Neurospora crassa OR74A: one gene and its partner. The protein of the gene in region 2 interacts with the protein of the main gene of each other region in a pairwise test. Links are inferred from orthologs where the notes say so. Each region holds a gene or a part of one and is shown on either strand. Other genes may lie near its edges. The genes, in order: NCU04274 and rpn-1.

Region 1 (7,171 bases), on a different chromosome or scaffold from region 2:
GGCGGTGACGTCGATTTCGATTTCGGTGAGCTCGGCCTTGCGCTTCTTGGAAGATTTCTTGGGTTTCTCATCGGAGGAGGCGGCGGCGGCATCGGCATCGGCGGTGGTGTCCATGGTGTCGACAGTCTCGGCGGACTCGGCAGGCTCCTCTGTGGCCTTGCGCTTCTTGGAGGATTTATCCTTCTTCTCCTTCTTTTCTTTCTTAGACTTCTTCTCGGAAACGAAATCGGCGGTGGTGTCCATGGCGTCGACGGGAGCGGAGTCCTGCGCGGAGGCGGTTTCGAGGTCTTTTGTTGCTGCCATTCTGGCTGGCTTTAGCGTATCGATCGAGATGGTGTCAATAGGCAAGGGAAGAAAAGTGTTGGAAATAGCAATAAAATCAAGGGTGTTGATTCCTCGAATTTGCAATGTCTACAGAAGGAGGACAGCCGCGCATGGACGCTGAGATTCCCCAATTGCTGGCAGCACAAGATTTTGGAAAATTTACTTTGCGATAAGCGAAGCGATAAGGAAGGGGTCACTGTTCCTCGCTCCAGTTGCGGGTCCGGAGCTTGGCTTGGTCGGGTCTCCATCGCGCAAAATGCGGGGGAGCGGGCGGGACCTACCTTTCAACCTCCACTTTCGGGTTCTCCACTCATACCCCTCTGAATCTCGTGCCAAATTTGCAAAGAGCCGCCATCTTTTCAGATCTCCCGCCGTCATTTCATGATGGGACTTGCCCTTTGCATGATTGCCCCCTTTTTAATGCGATGTCTATGGGCCCTATCTTATAGTGTCAAACGTGTCTTGCTCCGATGACAGGTCTTGAAGTGCAGCCGTACTTGGGTCGGCAAGGTAGGTACGAGACCAGCGTGCAGAATTTCGGTACTCATCAACTGGAGTATGGTACAGTACACGTACTTTTGTACATTGGTCACAAATGGATGGAATATTTCCCCGACAATGACAGCCCACAGCACCACGCAATGGGCCAAATGTAGCCACGAGCACAAGTCGATGATGCCAATATGCTGACTTGGCCCCTCTTCCACTTGATCAATGCCAGGATGTCCCTTGCCATGAATAATAGCTCACGGTGTAGAGTACCTGTAGTAGACACGTCTGCCAAACTCATCTATATTGAGCAGAGTACTTGTTGGGTTCTTGAAAGACGGTTGGACATATTACTTTGCAGGGAGTCTCTTAAGTCCACATAGCAACCCTGAGCTATACAAAGCTGGACAGTCACTTCCGATGGGAAGCAGAAGCCCCATTCAACTCCAGGTCAGTCACTCCCAATGAAAGGGTATCAGATCCTTCGGAAGTTGTTCCAGAGTGATGGCCATTAAAGTCCCGCAGAATCGAAACGGAAACGACATGAGCGTGTTGCTGACGTTGCTCGAATCAACCCCCCGAAGCTTTGATCTGGATCGAGCGAATCGTCAAGGGAGCTGATCGGGTGGGCAGGTGGGCCACGCGGCCTCAATGTCGGTCCATCATCTCGCCAAGCGCAAGGGCCAGGAACAGAGGCAGCGTTGGCAAACGCCTGTCTAAAACACCCACTGCAGGCCGAGAGGATGCGGAAAAGCCAACAATGGGTTTTCCAAGGTCCTTGGTGCTGGCCGTACCGTGGTTGGTAGCGCTGTACACTGCATACCGTTGACGGCCTGTCGCGGTCGCTTCAACAAAGTCTCATCGTTTTGCGTTTGATGACCGGAAAAGTGGAGGTAATTGGTACCCGAAACCATCTTTTTGGGGCCTCACGTGCCGAGAACCACCGATAGGGCTTGGCGAGATCTGGCGGCCTTGAAAAGAAGAAAAAAAAAAGACCGACAAAAGGTCCTCAAAGACTCCACCGGTCCACGTCGTACGTGTACACTACTTTTTTCCTCGGAAATGTCCTCAGAAGGACACAATTCATTGGCAGCTAGTCTGAACAGACTCTGGAGCTTCTCTCTTACCACATACATACTACTGACGCCTCATTGCTTGGGCTTGCAGGCCGGCTTGTCTTGACCGCTTGAGATCTTTCAAATGGTTCGTCGTCTCGGAGTTTGATGCATGCATGCACTTAAACATTCTGGTAGGGGTCTACGAAGTAGTGTACCAACCACAATCGGTTGTGTCAGGGGACTAGTACTTGATACGGTTAGTGTAGCCAAAGGCCAAACAGCTAATAGCCTCTCCCGGTTAGCCACCATGTTTGGCCACATGGACTCCCTCGACAAAACCGGCCCTGGGCCAGCTGTGGTGAGTGGACCGGTCCATGAAAACCGACATCCACTCTTTTTGTTTTGCCCGTCGCCGCCCTTGCTATGTACTTAGGTAAATGTTCCTTGCAAATGCAAAGGGTCGCTGCTTGCTGGTGGTGCTGGTGCTGGTGCTGCTCCTCCTCCCTTCCGATACACACCACTGGTTGACAGTCCCGACATCACCAATCGGCGTAAAAGCTGCTCAGACCTTGAAGAGGCCCAGCCAACCGTTGTTCCCGCTGGCAGACACTGGCCTCCGCAGGACACCACCTGGACACCACACACATCACACGTTGACTGGTCACTCATCACCACTGCTTGCCAGGACCGGGACGCCAGTGAGAACCAGGGAATGAGCCACTGGGAGGCTCAAGCGAAGGTCAAGCGGATGCGCTCTTGTTGTTGGCCTTGGTTGGTTGCTTTTGGCTTCTCCGCTGGCTGCATTGAGAGGGAGCACCTTTTCCCTCTGCGCATTCCTCCTCCACTCACAGTCCTTCATTCGTCGCAATCCCGTCGCAAATCCGTGCAACGTTCAGTTGTGGTGCAGAGAGAAAAAGGAAAAGGCTCCTCACTTTCGGTCGCTTCTTCAGAGCCAAGAACGTCCAAGTGAAAAAAAAAAAAAAACTCCACCAGCCATTGGCATCGCACTGTGAACTCACTGGAAAAGCAGTCCAAGTACTTACTAGTCTGACTGCGCGGGCCCTGCCTGCCACTCGCAAGAGTTCGCTCCATTCAGTTCTTCTCACTCGCCATCCTGCGCTTCCCTTGACCTGCTTCCACCCTTCCTTTCATTTCTACTAGTCTTTCTTCTCTTCCTTGACTCGCATTTCTGCGTTGCGACTCGCAACACTTGCAACTCAAAAAATTAAAATAAAAGCGAGCGGTCTGACGCCGGCTGCTCCCTCTCACTTTTTTTCCGCCTCAGATCGCCTGGCTTCTTCCACCGCCGTCGACCCGTCATCCATCCACATCGTCGTCGTTCTCCTATTTGCGTCGGCAGCGCCACGCAACGCTATACCGCCAAAACGAGCATTGTTCTCAATCCCACAATGAACGTGCTCCTATCGCCGCAGCCGCCCTTCTTCCCTCACCAACACGAACCCTCTCGCCGCTCGCCGCCTAGAATAAGTAGGTTGTTGCTGCCGATCATTGTATCCCAGCGTGCATCCAGCACTGCTGGTACAAAATCTAAAGTTCACTGCAGGCTTACTAACATCTTTTTGCCAGTGTCGCAACACACCATGGCGTCCAGGAAAAGAAAAGCAGACGACGATGACAACGAAATGTCGATATCGCCGACCGGCTCGCCCGCAATCAACTCGCGGCAGCTCTCGAGGCCATCCAAGAAGGTCAGGGCTGGAATCGAACTTGCAGGACGTCCGCTGCCTCTTCCTCGCCTACTCGAAACTCTGGACAAGTCACAGTTGCGAGCTGTCCTCCAGACGATTTGCGAGCGTCATCCGGGCATTGGACATGAGGTGATGGTGTCTGCACCGCGACCGTCAGTCAACGGAGCCCTCGAGGTTTTGGGCGAATATCAGGACAAGCTACGGGCCGCCATTCCGTTCGGCAACTCGAGTTCCGAATACACCTACTTCCGAGTCAAGCAGCCGCTCATGGCGTTGGTGGATGCTCTCGGCGACTTCACCCCCCAGTTCCTGCCGCCGGTTGAGCAACAGGCGACCGTGTCGTTGGAGTACCTGAACCATGCAACAAAGATCGTTCACGACCTACCCGATTTCGACAGCCAGCAGTATCGCCACCACAAGGACGGAGCGTACGACGAGATATCCAGAGCTTGGGCGTTGGTGATCACGGAAGCGGCCAAGCGCGGAGGAGGCTTCCACCTGCACAACGGAAAGTGGGATCAGGTCCTGGCTAAGCACAACCAGCAGTCTGGAGGAAAGCTAGAGCAGGCCATGAACGCAATGGTCAACGAGGTTGGATGGGTCGGCGCGAACTCGAATGCCCATGGGCAGGGTTCTTCTTCGGACCCCAACTCGATACTCAACCAGCTCATCAACGGCACATATGGCGCACCTGTCCAAGTTGGTCCCTTCTAGAACAGGCGACGGCATGAACATGCAAGTGCGCCATGACTTTGGAATTTATACGGATACTCATGGGACTGGGAGGATAAGCAAAGCGGACATTCAGGTCGATTGCATCATGGTTTCTTTTGTCGTTCACTTTTTCAACATTCAGGGCATTGTTTGGGGCGAATGGGGAAGGATGACATAGACAGGCGTGGGTTACTTGCGGGGATCATTGTTTTCAAGGCGTTGGCGTGTTGGCTTCCTGAATGCTGTTGTTTCTTGCCTTCATTGTTGTCTTTCTGGCCACATCTCACTGGCACAAGATACCTCTTTCCTACCGGCTGTCTCTCGTTCTAGGGGAACGACTTGTTCGTCACTTGCATGTACGCAATCTTTAGCATATTCTTTCCGAGGTCGGAAGTGGAGCATGTGTGTAACCAACCATCACTACCATATTCATTCCACCATAGCCACGCAATTGGTAAAACGAAGTCTCGGATAACACAGTGTGCCTGGCGGGTGATTTGGTGTAGATACCCGTACACCCGCAACATGTCCCGGGTTCATTGGGTGTATCCCGAGGTGAATTTAGCGGTTTGTTGGGATCAATCAAACTCGACTTGCATCTTCATTGATTCTGTGATCCAAGCAAGCCGTTTCCAACAATGAAGTTGGAAGTGTCCGGATAATGACCGGAGTCCAAACGCGAAATCCAGATGATCATATCTGCCCTTGAAGCACCATCTTGTTCACAGAGACCAAAGCAACACTACTGCCTCTCGCAATGAAGTCCCTTGCATATTTGCTCCTACACGGACAGTGGCGGCTCCCTTTAGAACCACGTACAACGAGTTGAGATATGGAATGGCCATCATGGAATGAATTACACTACACTAGATATGGAGGCATGACTAAGCTCGACGGATCGTGAATGGACAACTGAAGTGGAGTTCCCTCCGACTGTGTGACGGGATGACAACCTAGAGAAAGGCCTAAAAGTTGGTGAGGTCACCACCTAGAGGCTAGAGCCCCACCGGTCAGGGGCGGGTGTTAGGCAGACGCCACCAGCGCCCCACGTGATAACGCACTCCGAGCGCGCCTGCCCAATCTACACAGCGCGTCTTGTCGTTCTTGCCTTGATCCATCACTGCATGCTTCGCGACGTTTGCTTTAGGAAAGTCACAAATATTTTTTTTGAAAAAAGAAAAAAAAACTCTCCCCTTCAAGACGTTAATCCCATTCCTTCCTGCTGGGATACCACTGCGAACGACTCGCAAACCACCAGCCTTGAGGCTGCTCTGCTAGACAAGATGCCTGCGTATGTTTACCTCTGCTATCGACGACGTGTGTCAACCGCGTCTCCCGCGGCCTTCCAGTAACCGAGACCCTCATTAACACTTCAACAGAGTCGGCGACCAACACAAACTCATCGCCAACCCGTTCGAGGAGCCACAACGGCGAATCAGCGAATACACAGCCCAAGAGATCGCCACACTACAGAGCCGTCTCGAGAAACAACTAGGACCCGAGTACCTGTCGAGCCGCGCCGGCCCATCAGGCCAAAAAGTCCACTACATCTCGTCAGAAAAATGCATCCAACTTGCGAACGAGGTCTTCGGCTTCAACGGCTGGTCCTCCAGCATCCAGAATATTCAGGTTGATTTTGTCGATGAGCATCCTCAAACGCTGAAAATCAACATGGGCATTTCGGTTATTATGCGAGTCACTCTACGCGACGGAACGTATCACGAGGATCTTGGCTACGGCCATATCGAGAACTGTAAGGGCAAGGCGGCTGCTTTTGAGAAGGCCAAGAAGGAAGCCACGACGGATGCATTGAAGCGCGCGCTGCGCCAATTTGGCAACGTGCTGGGCAACTGTATCTACGACAAGCAATACTTGGCCAAGGTCACCAAGATGAAGGTCGAGCCGACCAAGTTCGCGGAGGACAACCTACATCGGCACTCAGATTTCGTCAAGAAGGAGCCGGTTGAGGCAGATATCATGAAGGTTGACTCAGTTGGGGCTGGCGCCCGTCCACCAGCCTTGGGAAACGAGGAGTCTTTTGAGGATTTGCTCGGAGGTAAGGCCACTTGTGCACTATTTTTGGGTGGGCTCGGCTGATGATGACTAGAACTCGATGAGGCCGATTTCAACATGGCCGATGAGGGCCATCCAGATGAAGTCGTGCTACCACAAGCCGTGCACAATAGCTTGAACGACAAGCCTGTACATCAGCAACTGACCAATCTCAACCCACAAGCACAACAATCACGACCTCTGTCGCGGTCAGGGTCAACAGGCAGCCTGAATACCCGGCAGCAACCACAGAATTCCCACCAATTCACGGCGAGGGCCCAAAGTCGGCCTCCACAACAGCAGCTTAACAGCAACCAAAGTCGTCCTATGGGTCAACCGGTCAACAATTCCAGCAACGCAAACACTCCCAACAACCCCCAGAACTACACAACACCACAGAAGCCTGCTCCTGCCGCTCCTGCTCCCCAAGCAGGTGCAGCTGTAGCTCCCGCACCAGAAACCGTTGGCTTCTTCTCCGCTAAAGCTGTGACCCAACTTCCGGAGGAGGCATTGGCTAGTGGCCAAGTCGCGCCGAAACCAGGTCTAGCATTCAACCCTCACGCCGAAAGTCCGTCCATCCGCAAGACGCCTGGCATCGATCACACCAAGTCTAAACCATTAGCCAGAAACGGTCAGCACGTCCCTCCAGCCAAGACAACCGAGACAGAAGCTGAACCAAGCACATCGCTTTCAAGACCTGCGGGAGCTCATGCGGCATCACGACCAGTCACGATGAACGAGGCACGATCAGCATCGGGAAGCTTCTCCCGAGCCGGGCCCCCGATGGGTGGTAATGCCGGAAACATGGGCAAGCCCAACGTCGTC
Region 2 (4,241 bases):
CACAGTGGCGTCCAACCGCTTAGCTCCATCCTTGCCAACCGTCTTCTTAGCATCCTTGAAGAAAGGACCGGGTTGTGTGGGCACAAAGTGGAAGCGCTTCTTGAAGAACCTCTTGATGCATTCGACATCGCGGTCAAAGTACATCTCGGCGTTTACGTGGTCCATAGACACCATTTGTGGGAAGTCGATAATGACTGGGACAAGGGTTACCGTCTCCGTCTCCTTCTCCTCGCCGTCCTCGATCGTGTACTTGGTGGTCCGCTCCTCTTTGATCAAAATGTTGAACTCGTTGAAATCACCATGGATGAGCCCGTGCTTGGCCAATCGAAGGATGAGGTCGATAAGCTCAGCGTAGAGGCTCGCGGGGTCTGGAACCGAGGAGACCTGTCTAAGTGGTAGGGACTCGACCAGGCTCATGACGATAGTGTGTCGGGACTGGGAAATCGGTTCGGGAACGGGAAAGCCTTCTTCTTGGAGAGCCTGCATGAAGGCATATTCCTTCATGGCCGCAAGCCGCGAGAGATACATCCATGAGCCGCCTTGCCGGTTGCGCAAGTAGTCGCGGTTGGACTTGACGGTACGGAAGGAAATGCGGCCTAGGCGATGGATCTTGAGAATCTTCTGCTTGCCGGTCTTGTCGGCTACGATCATGATGTCGGATTCCTTGCCAACACCCACACGACTGCCAACGCTGTAGACGACATCTTTCGAGGAGTGGGTGTGTAGGGCCAGATAGTCAAGACCGCCGTAGGTCAGTCGGTAGCCGTCGTACTTGGCCTCCTTCATGCGTCCGATGAGGCCAGACTTGGCAAGGGTCGCTATGCTCTTGTGAACACCACTGGCACCGCCCTTGAGACGGGCAATTCTCTCGATCAGAGGGGTCGGGACGAGCTCGTGGTTCTTGCTGCCCATCTCAACGGCAGTCAAGACTCTCCAGTCTTCTGCCGTGAGATGGCGTAAAACTCTGGTGTCCAAAAACATGATTGTGTGTTTCTTTTTGGATGTTTTTTGTTTTTTCCCCTCAGGTGATTGTCGGCCTAATTGCTGTGAGAGATTTTCTGATGTTGTATTGATCCAAGAGAGCTATTAGGTTGCTGTCTACGACGCTCTCGTCAAAGTCAAAGTCAAGGTGGGTGAAGCGCAAAGCTGATGTCCAGAATGGAAAGTGGGCGTCCCCCAAATTCCAAATGCACGGTTGCGATAACATCTTCCCGATAAGATAGGGCTGGCCGTGGGCTCCATTCGCTGAGCTGTGCCTGCCCGGTCAAGCGCCAGGTCCAGGCCAGTAGCTTATCTTATCAGAAGCTTGGGGGGAGCGGAATTTGTATCTTCCAGGCTCTGATGACGCCTCGTCCCCACCGAGGCTTCCAGACCCACTTGAGGCGGGCAGCATTGGATCGCAGGGGCGTTCTCAGCCAGACGGGGGAGCTTCAGGCGGCAAGCGAGTCGCGTAACCACCATCGGAGCTCCCTGGCGTTAGTACCGTAACTGCCACTGACCTTTGCTGGCTTTCAGCAACTGAGGTGCTTCTGGGCGAACCTGCAAAAGCTCCAACCTCCAAAACCGTCACCTGAACAACATAACAACCTCCAAACAACCGCAGCCAGCTCATCCACTTTTGATTTTGACATTCTGCTCACGACTGGAGCTCAAGTTCCTGTCGCTCAAGCAAACTCGGTGACAAAACTTGAACATTTCTTGCAGCAGCGAACGCCACCGCCGCGTCCACCTACCCCGGCCAGCCCAACCGACCTTGGTTTCCCCTCCAACTGGACCCATCGGCTCCGCGAATCCTCCCACCTACAACCATCACGGCCAGTAATCATGGCGCAAGAAAGCGACCTGTCCAAGACGGCCGATAAGGGCAAGGGAAAGGCCGTCGATGACGAGAAGAAGCACCAAGATGTCGATGGAAAGACCCCCGCAAACGGAAAGAAGGAGGAGGAACAGAATGGTGGGTTTCTCGGCCACTCCGACCGACTTGAGGTATCGGCGCCGGGCTTCTGCTGACAGCGCTTTGCGTTAGCTTCCGAGGAACTCAGTGAAGAGGATCAGCAGCTCAAGAGCGAGCTTGAGATGCTCGTTGAGCGGCTAACGGTTGGTGCTTCGCAATGACGTGATACAGGCTGAAGACCGGCTTCTCTAACAGTACAATGTCTTCAGGAATCCGATGCGACCCTCTACAAGCCGGCCCTCGAGGCCATGAAGAACTCTATCAAGACATCCACATCCTCCATGACGGCGGTACCGAAGCCGCTCAAGTTCCTGCGCCCGCATTATGAAACCATGACGAAACTCTACGACGAGTGGCCCGCTGGCGATGATAAGTCATCTCTCGCAGATGTTCTATCGGTGATCGGTATGACATACTCGGACGAGGACCGCCAGGATACTCTGAAATACAGACTTCTTTCCCCAACACAGGACATTGGCTCGTGGGGTCATGAGTACGTTCGCCATCTCGCCCTCGAGATTGGCGAGGTCTACGCCAAGCGCATAGCCAATGATGAGCCGACTCAAGAGCTGGTCGATCTTGCCCTGGTTCTGGTGCCGCTCTTCCTCAAGAGCAACGCTGAAGCCGATGCCGTCGATCTGATGAGTGAGCTCGAGATCATCGAGGAGCTTCCCAAGTTTCTCGACGAGAACACCTATTCGAGAGTCTGCCTGTACATGGTCTCCATGGTCAACCTCCTAACCTATCCTGACAACGAGACGTTCCTTCGCGTGGCGCACAGCATCTACAAGAAATACAACCAGCACACCCAAGCCATGGTGCTTGCGATTAGACTCAACGATCTTGGACTCATCGAGAAAGATTTCGAGGCGGCGGACGAGGATCCTGCGCTTCGCAAGCAGCTCGCTTTCCTTATCGCGCGCCAGGGCATTCCATTGGAGTTTGAAAGGAGCAATGATGACGACGAAAAGATCTACGAGTGCCTTTCCAACCAGAAGCTGTCGGAGTATTTCAAGTCGCTCGGGAAGGAACTCAACATCTTGGAGCCAAAAACGACTGAGGATATTTACAAGAGCCACCTCGAAAGCAGCCGTGTTGCTGGTATGACCAACTTTGATTCTGCCCGACACAATCTTGCCGCCGGCTTCGTCAACGCTTTTGTCAATGCCGGCTTTGGGAGTGACAAGATGATGCTCGTTGGTAAAGACAAGGACAGCTGGGTGTGGAAGACCAAGGATGAGGGTATGATGTCTACAGTGGCGTCGCTGGGAACCCTGCTCCTTTGGGACGTCGAGAACGGTCTTGACCACGTCGACAAGTATACTTATCTCGAGGAGGAGCAAATCCAAGCTGGCGCATACCTCGCGATCGGTATCATGAATACTAACGTTAGGACGGACTCCGAGCCCGCGATGGCCCTGTTGGCTGATCCCGACAAGCTTGCGCACAAGAACCCGCTCATCCGCGTAGCTACCATTATGGGTCTCGGACTGGCATACGCAGGGTCCTGCAAGGAGGAGCTTCTCTCGTTCTTGGTCAACATTATCAGCGACCCTGAGGAGAGCATGCAGGTGTCGGCTATGGCTGCCCTGGCCTGCGGTATGATCTTTGTCGGCTCCTCCAATTCCGAAGTCAGCGAGGCCATCGTGACTACCTTGTTGGACGAAGAAAGTGGAAGCCGCCTCAATGACAAATGGTCCAGGTTCCTTGCGCTTGGCTTGGGTCTCCTCTATTTTGGTCGCCAGGAACAGGTGGACGTTATTCTTGAGACGTTGAAGGCGGTTGAGCACCCTATGGCGAAGCCAACTGCTGTTCTTGCTGAGATTTGCGCCTGGGCTGGCACCGGTGCCGTCCTCAAGATTCAGGAGCTCCTTCACATTTGCAACGAGCACATTGAGGATGGAGAGGAGAAGAAGGGCGAGGAGTTGCTTCAGGCCTATGCCGTTCTGGGTATTGGCTTGATTGCCATGGGCGAAGATGTTGGACAGGAAATGGTTCTCCGCCATTTTGGTCACCTTATGCACTACGGCGAAGCTAACATCCGACGAGCGGTGCCGCTGGCTATGGGTCTTATCAGCCCCAGCAACCCTCAAATGAAGGTTTACGACACTCTGTCACGGTACAGCCACGACAATGACAATGAAGTGGCCATCAACGCCATTTTTGCTATGGGTCTCCTGGGTGCCGGTACGAACAACGCTAGACTTGCCCAGCTGCTCCGTCAGCTGGCTAGCTACTATCACAGAGATCAGGAGTCTTTGTTCATGGTCCGTATCGCACAAGGTCT

Evidence for each region.
Region 1: the proteins of rpn-1 (region 2) and NCU04274 interact in binary tests that used the Schizosaccharomyces pombe proteins (3 or more experiments, as listed by UniProt). The link is inferred for Neurospora crassa OR74A from reciprocal best matches to the Schizosaccharomyces pombe genes mts4 and cut8.

The regions. Positions count from the first base shown.
Region 1 is NC_026505.1:5,459,004-5,466,174, forward strand, and holds NCU04274 (nuclear envelope protein Cut8), read left to right. Parts: upstream 1-2,667; 5' UTR 2,668-3,280; coding exon 3,281-3,359; intron 3,360-3,458; coding exon 3,459-4,294; 3' UTR 4,295-4,946; downstream 4,947-7,171. Other genes in the region: NCU04273 (RNA-binding protein), read right to left, coding at 1-303; double strand break repair protein mus-11, read left to right, coding at 5,419-5,585, 5,674-6,350, 6,402-7,171. UniProt on the Schizosaccharomyces pombe protein: Together with nucleoporin alm1, tethers the proteasome to the nuclear envelope. Involved in ubiquitin-mediated protein degradation and facilitates the degradation of nuclear proteins like mitotic cyclin and cut2. Required for normal progression of anaphase.
Region 2 is NC_026504.1:2,086,460-2,090,700, forward strand, and holds the start of rpn-1 (26S proteasome regulatory subunit rpn1), read left to right. Parts: upstream 1-1,441; 5' UTR 1,442-1,824; coding exon 1,825-1,954; intron 1,955-2,026; coding exon 2,027-2,097; intron 2,098-2,163; coding exon 2,164-4,241. Other genes in the region: rbg-40 (serine/threonine-protein kinase RIO2), read right to left, coding at 1-981. UniProt on the Schizosaccharomyces pombe protein: Acts as a regulatory subunit of the 26 proteasome which is involved in the ATP-dependent degradation of ubiquitinated proteins.